Linked DNA regions of Mus musculus: region 1 is reported to be linked to region 2. The links are microRNA targets in miRTarBase. Many come from high-throughput screens and were not tested one by one. Region 2 holds a microRNA gene; the other region holds the end of a gene's coding sequence.

What was found. The annotated mature microRNA mmu-miR-7234-5p reads UUGUUUUCUCCAAAGACGUUUCU and lies in region 2 at 3,479-3,501, shown strand. An mRNA with a match to its seed (bases 2 to 7 or 8) in the 3' UTR can be bound and repressed. Matches are read on the target gene's strand: a 7mer-m8 pairs with bases 2 to 8, a 7mer-A1 pairs with bases 2 to 7 and ends in A, and an 8mer does both.
Region 1: the mRNA of Cst3 is a reported target of mmu-miR-7234-5p. The part of its 3' UTR that is shown has no 7-base or 8-base seed match.

The regions. Positions count from the first base shown.
Region 1 is chr2:148,867,279-148,872,657 of GRCm38, forward strand. It overlaps Cst3 (cystatin C), which reads right to left. Exons shown (of 3, transcript NM_009976.4): 3 at 4,444-4,765. The coding sequence ends at 4,682. Among named protein-coding and RNA genes, the nearest start is that of Cst3, 5.5 kb to the right of the region's middle.
Region 2 is chr7:73,816,112-73,821,490 of GRCm38, forward strand. Mir7234 (microRNA 7234) reads left to right here and starts at 3,479; the gene lies at 3,479-3,530. It overlaps Gm10619 (predicted gene 10619), which reads right to left and starts at 392. Exons shown (of 4, transcript NR_077222.1): 1 at 1-392.

The DNA of each region.
Region 1 (5,379 bases), not on the chromosome of region 2:
TCTCCAGGAGGGTATTCCTGGAAAGGAAGCTGAGCAAGTCATGAGGAGCAAGGCAATAAACAGAACTCCTCCACAGCCTCTGCATCAGTCTCTGTCTCTAGGTTCCTGCATTGAGTTGCTTCACTGACTTCCTTTGGATGATGGAGTACAAACTGTAAGGTGAAATAAAACCTTTCATCCTTAAGCTGCTATGGTTATGATACTTATCACAGAAATAGAAATCTTAACTATGGGTGACTGTGTATATGCAATGAATCTTCAAAAATGTTCTCCAAAAGAGGGTCCTTGCATTTCCACACGTGGGAAGTGGGGATGGAGATGGACGAATGGAAAGGGCATGGGAGCTCATGCTCTTTTCCCAGACCTACCCCATGCACACATTTCAGCCGTCCACTTTGTATAAGCATAAATGACTTTGTATTGTCTTTTGCTGTATTGCCTTTCACAAATACTGCTTTCTTTTTTTCAAATCAAACGTTTGAGGTAACCATACATTTGAGCAAATCTACAGGTGTCACTTTTGCAGTGTGATCCCTTCTTGACTTTGTGCCGGTCACATTCTTATAATTTTCATAGTATTTCTAACTTTTGCGTTAGTTATGGTGCTCTGTGATCTAAGGTTATAACCTTAGATGGTACTGCTATAATTGTCTGGGTGTTTAGTTTTAATTGTCAACTCGAAGTAATGAAGAATCACCTGGGTAGGAAGTCTCAATGAGGGATTGCCTAAATCAGGTCATCCCATGATATTTTATCACAACTGAAATGAGACTAGTACAGTACTATGTAATATTGGGGTTGAACTTGGGCCATGTACATGCTAGACAAGAATTCTATCACTCAGATACATCTCCAGCCATTTCTAAGTCTTTATTTTGAGGGAGTTTCTCACTGAGTTGTCTAGACTAGCCTTGGACTTGGACTCCTCCAACGTAAACTTTCCGAATAGCTGAAACAACAGCTTTGTGGCATCAGGTTCAGCTTGACAACATCAACACAGCTCCACAGGTTGATTCCTTCCCAGTCTTGCTAGACCTCCTCAGGTCTCCGTATCTCTCTGGGGCATGATACTGAAAATAGGCCAATGTGTCATCCCACAATGGATTTTAAGTTTCAAGTGGGAAAGCAGCCTTAATCACTTTTAAACACTGAGCCATCACTCCAGCCCCAGGTTGTTTCTCTTTCTTTCTGTTATGAATAGCCCAGCTAGAAGACGGCATGTATAAGCTTGAGAGTACAGTCACTTTATGCTGTTTATCTTGGATATATAAGCAGGTGTAGAACTGTTAGGCTTATGGGATGCTTTGAGGATATGCCAAGCAGTTTTCCCAAATCATTTTCACCAACCTCACCAGTTGAGTTGGGGTTTCCTGTTTGTTAGCTTTTTTCAATGACACCATAAGTATGAAGTGGGGACAGATGCTTTTCACTGACCTTATCCTCAGATTTGTGATAACCATTCATGTATGTCTTAATGTTTTGCCTATCTTCTTTTTTTTTTCAACAAATAACTTTATCAGTATAAATTATTTTTAAATATAAATAGAATTCATATGCATCAAATTGCATTCATTCCCTGGCATAATGTACCTCCAAAACAAAGTAACACAAATGAAAATACATGACTGTAAAATACATGTTAATGGCAAGCCACCATTTTCCAAGACCATAATTTTTACAGAAATATAGTAGCAGAGAAAAGTCAATGCACACATTTAACATATACATGCTAGAATCAATCCAAAGCTCCAGGGAAACATAACACTGATGCTTATATGAGCATAAACACAGCTTGGTCTGAAACAGGATCTGTGCAACAATGTGATTGTGTGAGCAATGACAAACGTAGAGACTGAGATTCATGAAATGCCCATGCCCTAAGCTAACAGTGAAGAAACCAAACAGGAAGCCACATACCCTACTGCAAGCCAACTTCTTCTAAGGTCAAAATGTGAAGAGAACTCAGGGATGCAGGAATGAAAAATGAGCTAAATTCTTTTTGCTTTAAATTGCCTATCTTCTTTAGAGATATACCTATTGAGACTTTTTACAATTTTAATTGGGTTGTGGTTTTTAAAAAATTAACTTGATAAATTTAAAAATGAGATTGTCTTCCATTTTCTAATGGTAACATCTTTTTAAAAAGGAAGGTTTTGTCTATGTGGTATGTGGGCGGGATCTGTGTGTGTGATGGTTTGTATATCCTTGGACCAGGGAGTGGCACCATCTGAAGGTGTGGCCTTGTTAGAATAGGTGTGACCTGGTTGGAATAGATGTGTCACTGTGGGTATGGGTAAAAGATCCTCACCCTAGTTGCCTGGATGTCAGACTTCCACTAGCAGCCTTTGGATGAAGACATAGAACTCTCAGCTCCTCCTGCACCATTCCTGCCTTGATACTGCCATGCTCCCACCTTGATGATAATGGACTGAACCACTGAACCTGAAAGCCAGCTCCAAGTAAATGTTGTTTTTTATAAGACTTGCCTTGGTCATGGTATCTGTTCACGGCAGTAAAACTCTAACTAAAACGGTGTGTTTGGGATTTTTAGGTTTTTTTTTTTTTTTGTTTTCATGTTTGGGTTTCTTTTCTTTTCTTTCTTTTTTAAGAGGGACAGACTATGAAATTGGTGAAGTTTGTGAGGCCTGGGAGAGATGTGGGAGGAGGTGAGGGAAAGAAAAGAATATGAACAAAATGTCTTGTGTAAAAAGTTTTAAAAATAAAAATACATTACAAAAAAAACCAAAAAAATTAAAGATATTTTGAAAAAATAGGTCATTGAAGCAAATTCTATGAACATTTTGGCTGGATTAATATTTACTTATATAAGAAAGTTCATACATTATACTGAACTATACTATAAAATGTCTAGATAATAAATTCTCATAAATCCCAAGAACTACTGCGAGGTGAGTATAGGAGGTGACTCAGGTCACAGAGCTGGGGCAGGCAGCTTCCAGATGTGCTGGGTTTCACGCTTTAGTTGAGAGACACACACAGAGAGAGAGAGAGAGAGAGAGAGAGAGAGAGAGAGAGAGAGAGAGAGGGAGGGAGGGAGGGAGGGAGGGAGGGAGGGAGGGAGAGAGAGAGAGAGAGAGAGAGAGAGAGAAAGAGAGAGAGAGAGAGAGAGAGAGAGATAGGGAGCACCCTAGGTACTATTGCTGTGTAATGACTTGCCTTCACTCACAGATAAGAAACATTTTAACCTGCTTCTTATGTTGTAGATCAAGGTATCAGAAAGACCCAGCTAGATAATGTCTGCTGTCCCCACATGGTCCCATGGCTTTGGGGAAGATGGGCTTACCTTCAGAGAAGTCTTGCTTCCCCTGGGTCGGGTCTAGGAAAGCACAGCAGGAACTTTGCATCTTTCTTGGTTTTGCTCTAGCCTACCATGTTATCATCTCACTTTCTCCATGACCCGATGAGTCACACACCATCCAGAGTCAAGCAGCAGAGACACAGACCATACACCTGAACGTCAGGACCACCAGTGAATTTCAGGACCAAGTAATAAACCTATCACAACACACAGTAACACAGACAAAACATGTGCACACTTTCCTGTGGGCAGGGCTGTCCAAGACCCTTAATACTGAGCCAACCATTCTGCTGAAGACCCTGGGCAATAAGGACACTAACTCTCCAACCTTGCCTAGACTCAGGTCTTGGAACTCAAGACCCTCTACTTGAGTCTTCCCTTCTCTCACCTCAAGAACATTAATTTATCACTATCAGAGGAGGAAGAGCCTGCCTACAAGGCCAGAGGAAATAGGTCACCAAGAAGAGAGGCTCTGCCTTCCCTTCGGGCTTTGCTTTGGCTTTTACTGAAGGACCTCTACTGCCCTTTAGTGTTCACACCAGTGGCCTGAAGACAGCTTCCTAATGCAGCTCTGATCTCCTTTGTGATTTGAACACAGGTCCCAGTAGCTTGGCTACTCCCCTTTACATTGGAGGACATGGGGATGGACATTGAGCAATAGGATATGAGGACTTGTATTTTATACAACCTTGTAGCCTCCCCAGATCTATGCAATCATGGCACTAAGGTGATATTAACTAAAACTCCCTACTTGTAAGTTGGAATTGACTTTATGTCTGTTTCATTTGGGTTAAATCTCCCCTGAAGCTGCATGAAAAGACTTGTGTTATATCAGGGCATAGAAGGGCTGGGAGTATCCCTGTCACCCCATAGACACCAGTGACCCAGGCCCAATAGTATAGGAATTGGTGCTGTGTGGGTTCTGGGTCTCTCTCTCTCTCTCTCTCTCTCTCTCTCTCTCTCCCTCTCCCTCTCTCTCTCTCTCTCCCTCTCTCTCTCTCTCTCTCTCTCTCTCTCTCTCTCTCTCACACACACACACACACACACACACACACACACACACACACACTTGTTTTCTGGGTTTCCTTGCTGCATTATCCTGAGACAGAAACAACTCAAACAGAGCCAAAGGAGTTTTTTTTTTTTAATTGAGCAAGGCATGGCAGGTACTGCAAGAAGAGTGGAGCCAGGGGACAGCTGTTCAGATGTGCAGAACCTGCCTGCAGCAGCTCCTTTACTGTCTCCTGGTGCAAACACACTGGCGGTGCCCTCCAGAGCCGGAGCACCCTTCTGCGAGATGAAACACTATAGGGAAGGAGCACAAGTAAGGAACAGTCTGCATGATCCTTCTAGACTCAGCCCTTAGGCATTTTTGCAGCTGAATTTTGTCAGGGAGTGTGTGCCTTTCCAGGGCACGCTGTAGATCTGGAAGGAGCAGAGTGCCTTCTGCAAAAGGGAACAAAGAGAAACAATCAGTGTGAAGCTACAGCAAAGACAAATACCCACTCCGGGATGATGGAACAAGTGTATGCAATGATGGAAGCTAAACCCTTCTCCCTTCTGAGTCCCAGGACACTTAGCAGGGTCTGTTCATCCCTATTATTGGATGGTATGTGTCCCCTTTCCTGGTTCCACAAGACCATATTCTTCAGCCCCAGCACAGCTTGTTAAGGAGTAGCCTTTTAAGGTGTGGGAGCCCTAGAGGTCAAGGCAGTGGAAAAGGCTCAGGGCCCATGAGCCCTCCACCTAAGTACTAAGAGGGCCACCAGGAAAGAAGCCCAGGCATAGGACACATCTCTAAAAGTGGCAAAGGTATAGGGAAGGATGATAAGGAAAATGTAGCTATCACCACAACCATGGTGTCACATCCCTGCAGACATGGTAGAAGAGGCACAGAAGACTCCAACCATTAAATAGGTTCTGTTCTCTTTCATGTGGTCTTGGCAGGTGGCTCTGGCTAGGATTAAAAAGAGCCTTTCTCCCCAGCAAGAATACTTGCAGTTGCTTCTAGCTCAGTAGGGATAACTGAACATCAATAGCCCAATTCCCAGGAAAAATTA
Region 2 (5,379 bases):
TCCCATCCAGTCTTGTTTTCTCCCAGCTCCTTTGAACCCAACATTGCTAATTTTTTTCTGATAAAAAAAATACAGGCTTGGCATGAACTTCATCTTGATTTATAGTATTCACTTATAATTCAGCTCCAGGGATAGCTATTATCCCTGTCTGTTGGGTTATAAAAGAGCTGGTTTGTGTAATGGATGGCAAACCAGATTTGCCTCTGAGTCCAGGAGATAGCAGTGGGTTCACCTCTTTCTGTTTTTTGACCCCTTCTTCTTTGCAGGCCCCGGGGGCCAGGTGAATAGTTGTCTGTCTCTTCCCTCCGTCACTTCCCCTCAAACGCACACCTGCCCTTTGCCTAGGACTGTGGATTCTGCCGTCTTGGAGCTTTGCTGTGTGACAGTTTTTTCAACTGCCCTTGGAATGTTGTGAAAATTCTCAGCAGTTGGCACCCTGGTTCTATAGCTGGGTGGAATCTCAGATCCCAAGGGCTGTAGTCCAGATCATAGTGGGGTCCCAGCAGTTGGGTCACTGGAAATGCTCAGTCCACTTAATGACAATTCCCATTACAGGTTTCAGGGTGGTCACTGCCTTATCAAAAGTCTTGCTAAAAAACCCTCTGATACGGGAATCCTAGTGTGCTGGGTAGTGGAGGCTGTGGTATTGGGACTTTGGCCTTGACACAACCCTTTCCCCGCCCCTTCTCTTGTTTAAGGTTTGCTATGGCTCACATACTTCCAGGCAGACAGCTGAGTACCTGCTGCCTGCAGAGAAGGGTCTGGGGTGGAGGTTCAGTGTCAGGTTTAATACGTGTTGCCTTTTGCCCAGCAACGACATGTGCCCCACCTCTGGGGAGCTGGCCACTGACAGATCTTGGCAGCCTGGCAGGGTGGGCTGCTGGCTTCTTAGTCTTAGTGCTTTGCTCCTGTGCACTGGGGTGGGGAGCATCCTAGGGAGGGCTAGAGAAGAGGCTGCCACGAACGCATGGCCTTAAACACCCCTAGGAGCCTCTGCAGTGCCATCTACCCTGTATCAAGGCCTGCACACTGCACAGGTCATCTGAGAGACAGAGGCCTTTCTTTTTAAATAGCACACATAAAAAGACAGTGGCTTCGTAAGGCCTCATTTGGAGATTGAATTTTTGAAAAAGCCTTTGGCTCAAGGCACTCTGGGAATGAGGTTCAGGACACAGGGCTCACCTGTGCTAGCCACCCCCTTCGCATGTCAGTCCTGGGCACTTTTGGAGGGGGTCTCCTGCCAGAGACTCACCTCCTTTCTCCCCTGGTAGATCAAGGCCTTACAGACTCTTCGGCAAGTTTTGTGGAATAGCTAGATGTCTTTGCTGCCTTGGGCTGAACTGAATGCAAAGGGGGACACAGGGGTAGCTGCCTTCTAAGTGAGGAACCATCATTATCTTCACAGTTACAACAGGAGCAAAGAAACTTCGACAAAAGCTTTCCACTCAGGCCTGCGATGTGTTCAGACCTAAAAAGAGTTGCAGCTGTAGGGCTATAGCTTAGCATGGGCTTCCTATTCTGGTGATAACTGCTACTGGTACATGGCCCAGGCCAAGCCTCATTCTAAGTGTAGACTACCATGACTGTCTGCTTAGAACGGCTGTGTCCCTACCCCTAGCCCAGAGAGTTGATTTGGAAGAAAAGCCCAGGTTCAGTTTCACTTCAGTTGAAATGATCACTCTACCCTGGCTATGACAGAATGACAGAGGGCTATCTATGCTGGGACTGTGCCCTTCCTTAGCCAGATCCTGGAGAAGAAAGGACACAGCCCGGCCAGGGGCTGGGGAGAAAGGACTCATCGGCTATGCTGGGGAGCCTGGCTTTCGGGCTTAGGCACAGAGATGGGAGTGAGCAGATGCGGCAGAACCTAGGAAACAAGGGAAGGGATGTTCACAGAGGAAACTAGGATGGGAGGGAATGGGGTTGCTTCTCTCTGGATTTTATCCCGTAGACTCTGGTGAACAGCTGGGCAGATGGAAGGGTTTAGGTGGGTCATGCCAGATGCAACAGATGCAATTCATTGGCTCTAGTCTATAGGAGACAGATCTCAGTGAGGTCAGGATTGGGGTCAAAAGAAGGAAGGCTTTGACAGTGGAGAAGGGCAAGAAGAAAAGCCTCAAGAAGTGCACATGCAGAGGGAGGTGAGCTGAGATAAGATGCCATTATCTAAAAAATAAAATAAAATTAAATTAAAAATTAAAAATGGAGTTGGCAGGTGAGTTTTGGTGGAACTCTACATCCAGGGGCCTCTTTAACAAGAGGGCAAGGGCAGATTCCAGGGACATGAGTGTGGAGGGGGAAGTTGAGGCGCAAGACCAGAAGCAGAAGGAAGTGGGGAGGTGGGTAGCTTCTTGGGAATCCAGAAGAGCATGGTCCTATGTAAGAGAACTAACTCTCCACATGCCTCAGAAGGGCGAAGTACCGGCTCTCTCCTGCCAGCGGCTTAATGAGCTCTTTGTCTCCCAATATATATAGCAGTGTGTCTCTCACACACTGTGGTTGCTAAATTAATGTCTGAACACAGATGTAAGGGAGAGCACGTGGTAAGAGGGTGGCCCGAGAGAACCCTAGTGGATTTGGCAATGTTGGAATGGGATAGATGGGATGTCGGACGGGTTTTGGGAAAAAGACTGCTGGTTGGAGGGAGAGAGGGAGGAAGAGGGCAGGACTTGGGGCGGAGCCTCAGTGTGGTGGGGGCAGAAGGGAGGCAGTCTTCCTCGGCTTCTTGTGGAAGTTTACCCAAGACAGGAAGGGAAAACACACAGCCAAAACCTTGAGGTTGGAGCACATTTAAGGGATGAAAATGGATGCTTATTGACTCTTCCATCTCTCTTCAAATGTTGCATGTTCCTTGTAGAACACGTAGGGAAGTGTTTATGAGAGATTGCCTGTAATTTCAGCCATGGTGCCGGCTGGCTGCATCGCTCATATCCTGGGATGCATGTGGCCCTTGGGTGGCATGTTGGACACACATCTGGTACTGTTAAGCTTTAATTTCTTTCCAGGCCTTTGTTCCTTTCCTCAACATAAAAATTGCGGCGGCGGCGGTGGTGGTGGTGGTGGTGGTGGTGGTGGTGGTGGTGGTGGTGGTCTTGTCATTGGTAGGAATGGCATCACTAAGAACTGTATTCTACAACAGTATCTTTCTTGCTTAATTTCTTGAAAACGTTTCTGTATTCAACATCCCTTAAATATTACCCATCTCCTTTAAACCTAAGATCCAAGCAAGTGGTTCAAAATGCAATAGCTTCCAGAGACCACTCTGGGGAAGGCGCCCTTTCTGCCCCTGCTTCTGAATCACTAGGCTTCCTTTCCAGGCTGTAACTTTTTAGAGGAGAAAGTTCTAGTATGTAAGTAATCGAGAAACGACTAAAAAAACGACCTGCCGTGTTGCCTATGTAGAGACACTAGGGCCTCATTTTCTATTGTCTGCGAGACTTCCACAGTTCTCCTTGTGGCCAAATCGTGCATGCGCACCTTGTTTTCTCCAAAGACGTTTCTAGGTAGAAACGTCTTTCTAGGGTAGAAGGACAAAGCACGTTCCTGGAAGCGGTGCTCCTGGAAAAGAAAACTTCCAAGGTCATATTTTCTTTCTGAGGAAGTTTATCAAACAGATGGTGCGCTCCGAGCGACGAGCACAGCGGCTCATACCCTGATTCTGCCCTCCGCCTGTCAAAAGTCACTCCCTCGAATGGTGCCCACCGTAGTTGGAGGGGACAGGGAAGGGAGATGCCAGCGAGCATCTCTAATCCTCACCAGTGAGCTGTCTTTTAGATGATGTGAGTGGCATTTTTGGTGGTGGTGGTGGGGGGGGATGGGAAATTGTAAGTGCTGACTCCCCTGGCACTGCTCCCCTGGGAGCTCGTGGACGATGACAGCGCCATGGCTAGAGGTGGCTGTGCCACCAGGAAACACAAAACTAGGGGACAAGCCTTTTTTTTTCTCATTAATTTATTTATTCACTTTACTTTCCAAACATAAGCCCTCACCCCCTCACATAACTCCGGCCCTACTTCCTACTCTCCTCTGAGAAGGGGGAAACACCACCCCCGTCCCTGCAACCCCCGTGCAACCAGGTATCAATCCATCCTGGCACATCAGTCACTGTAGGACTAGGCTCATCCTCTCCCACAGATGCCAGACAAGGCAGCCCAGTGTGAGGAACGGGATCCACAGGCAACAGTCAGGGACAGCCCCTGCTCCAGATGTTGGGGGAGCCCACATGAAGACCAAGCTGTACTTTTGCTACATATGTGCAGGGTTGCAGCAGAGGGGGGAGGGCTAGCCCCAGCCCATGTCTTTGGTTGGTGGGTCAGTCTCTGGGAGCCCCTGAGGGCCCAGGTTAGTTGACTCTGTTGGTCTTCTTGTGGGGTACAAAGGGAAGGGTCGCTGCCTTGCAGACTGGGTTATTGTTTGTGTGCTTTCCCCTCTTGAAGAGACAATGTGAGACTTCTTTTTCTGGCAGCTGTTCAGGGTGCTGTTGAGAGTTCTCGTGAAGGTTTGCAGAGAGTTGGTGGAGGTGGGGGAGGGGGAGGGGGAGGAGGAGGGAAGGGGGGGTCACTGCTCTAGGTAGGTGACTCCAGCTGCTTTATAGACTTTGTCCACTGCTCAGTCTCTGGGGTGGGAGCATGTGCCCTGCTGCCCTCTGACTAGGACTGCTTCATGACTCCTGATGGCAGAAGAGAAGCCAAGGGCGGCTTCCTCTTGCCCTTCTGAGGGTGCAAAGGTGGGAGTCATAGGAAGATGCCACTCTTATTTCCAGGTGAGCTAGAGCATCAACAGGGATAGATTATTTTTCTCCTTTGTGTTCACTCCCTCTTTGGGTTACTCTTAAAAATTCCTGCTGCTAGCTGGCTGGTGGTGGGGAAACTTCCTTCTGACTCTTCTGCTCTATGTGCTATTCAAGAGGAAGAGTCTCTTTCCTAAGGAATATGTGACAGCATAAGAGATGCGTTACAGCCAAGATATCTTGGCTTCTATTATGCAATTTCTTCTCTGGGTTAACATTGTCAGGGACCTCTGTGATGCTTGTAGATCTAAGTCTGGGAGGTGAAACTCCTTCATGGCCCATCAGCATCCCCAGTGACTATAGTGCCTTTAAGGCTCACTGCTTAGCTGGATTCAGAGGGTGATGAGCATTTGTGAGTTGTAACTTGCTTGGAAACCTGACTTGAATCTTCAATTATTGCCAGTTTTCAAACCTTGCTGTTCCTGGGACTTAAAACAGAGATTTGTCTCAGGTATCATCAGGCCCTGAACCTCAGCTTGGCTCTTCATTTGTTTCTGTATTAGTGTCCTAGGTTTGCTGTCAAAAGGATTCTACAAAGTGGACAGCTCCAGACAGAGTACTTCTTCTCTCCTGGTTCTGGAGACCAGAAG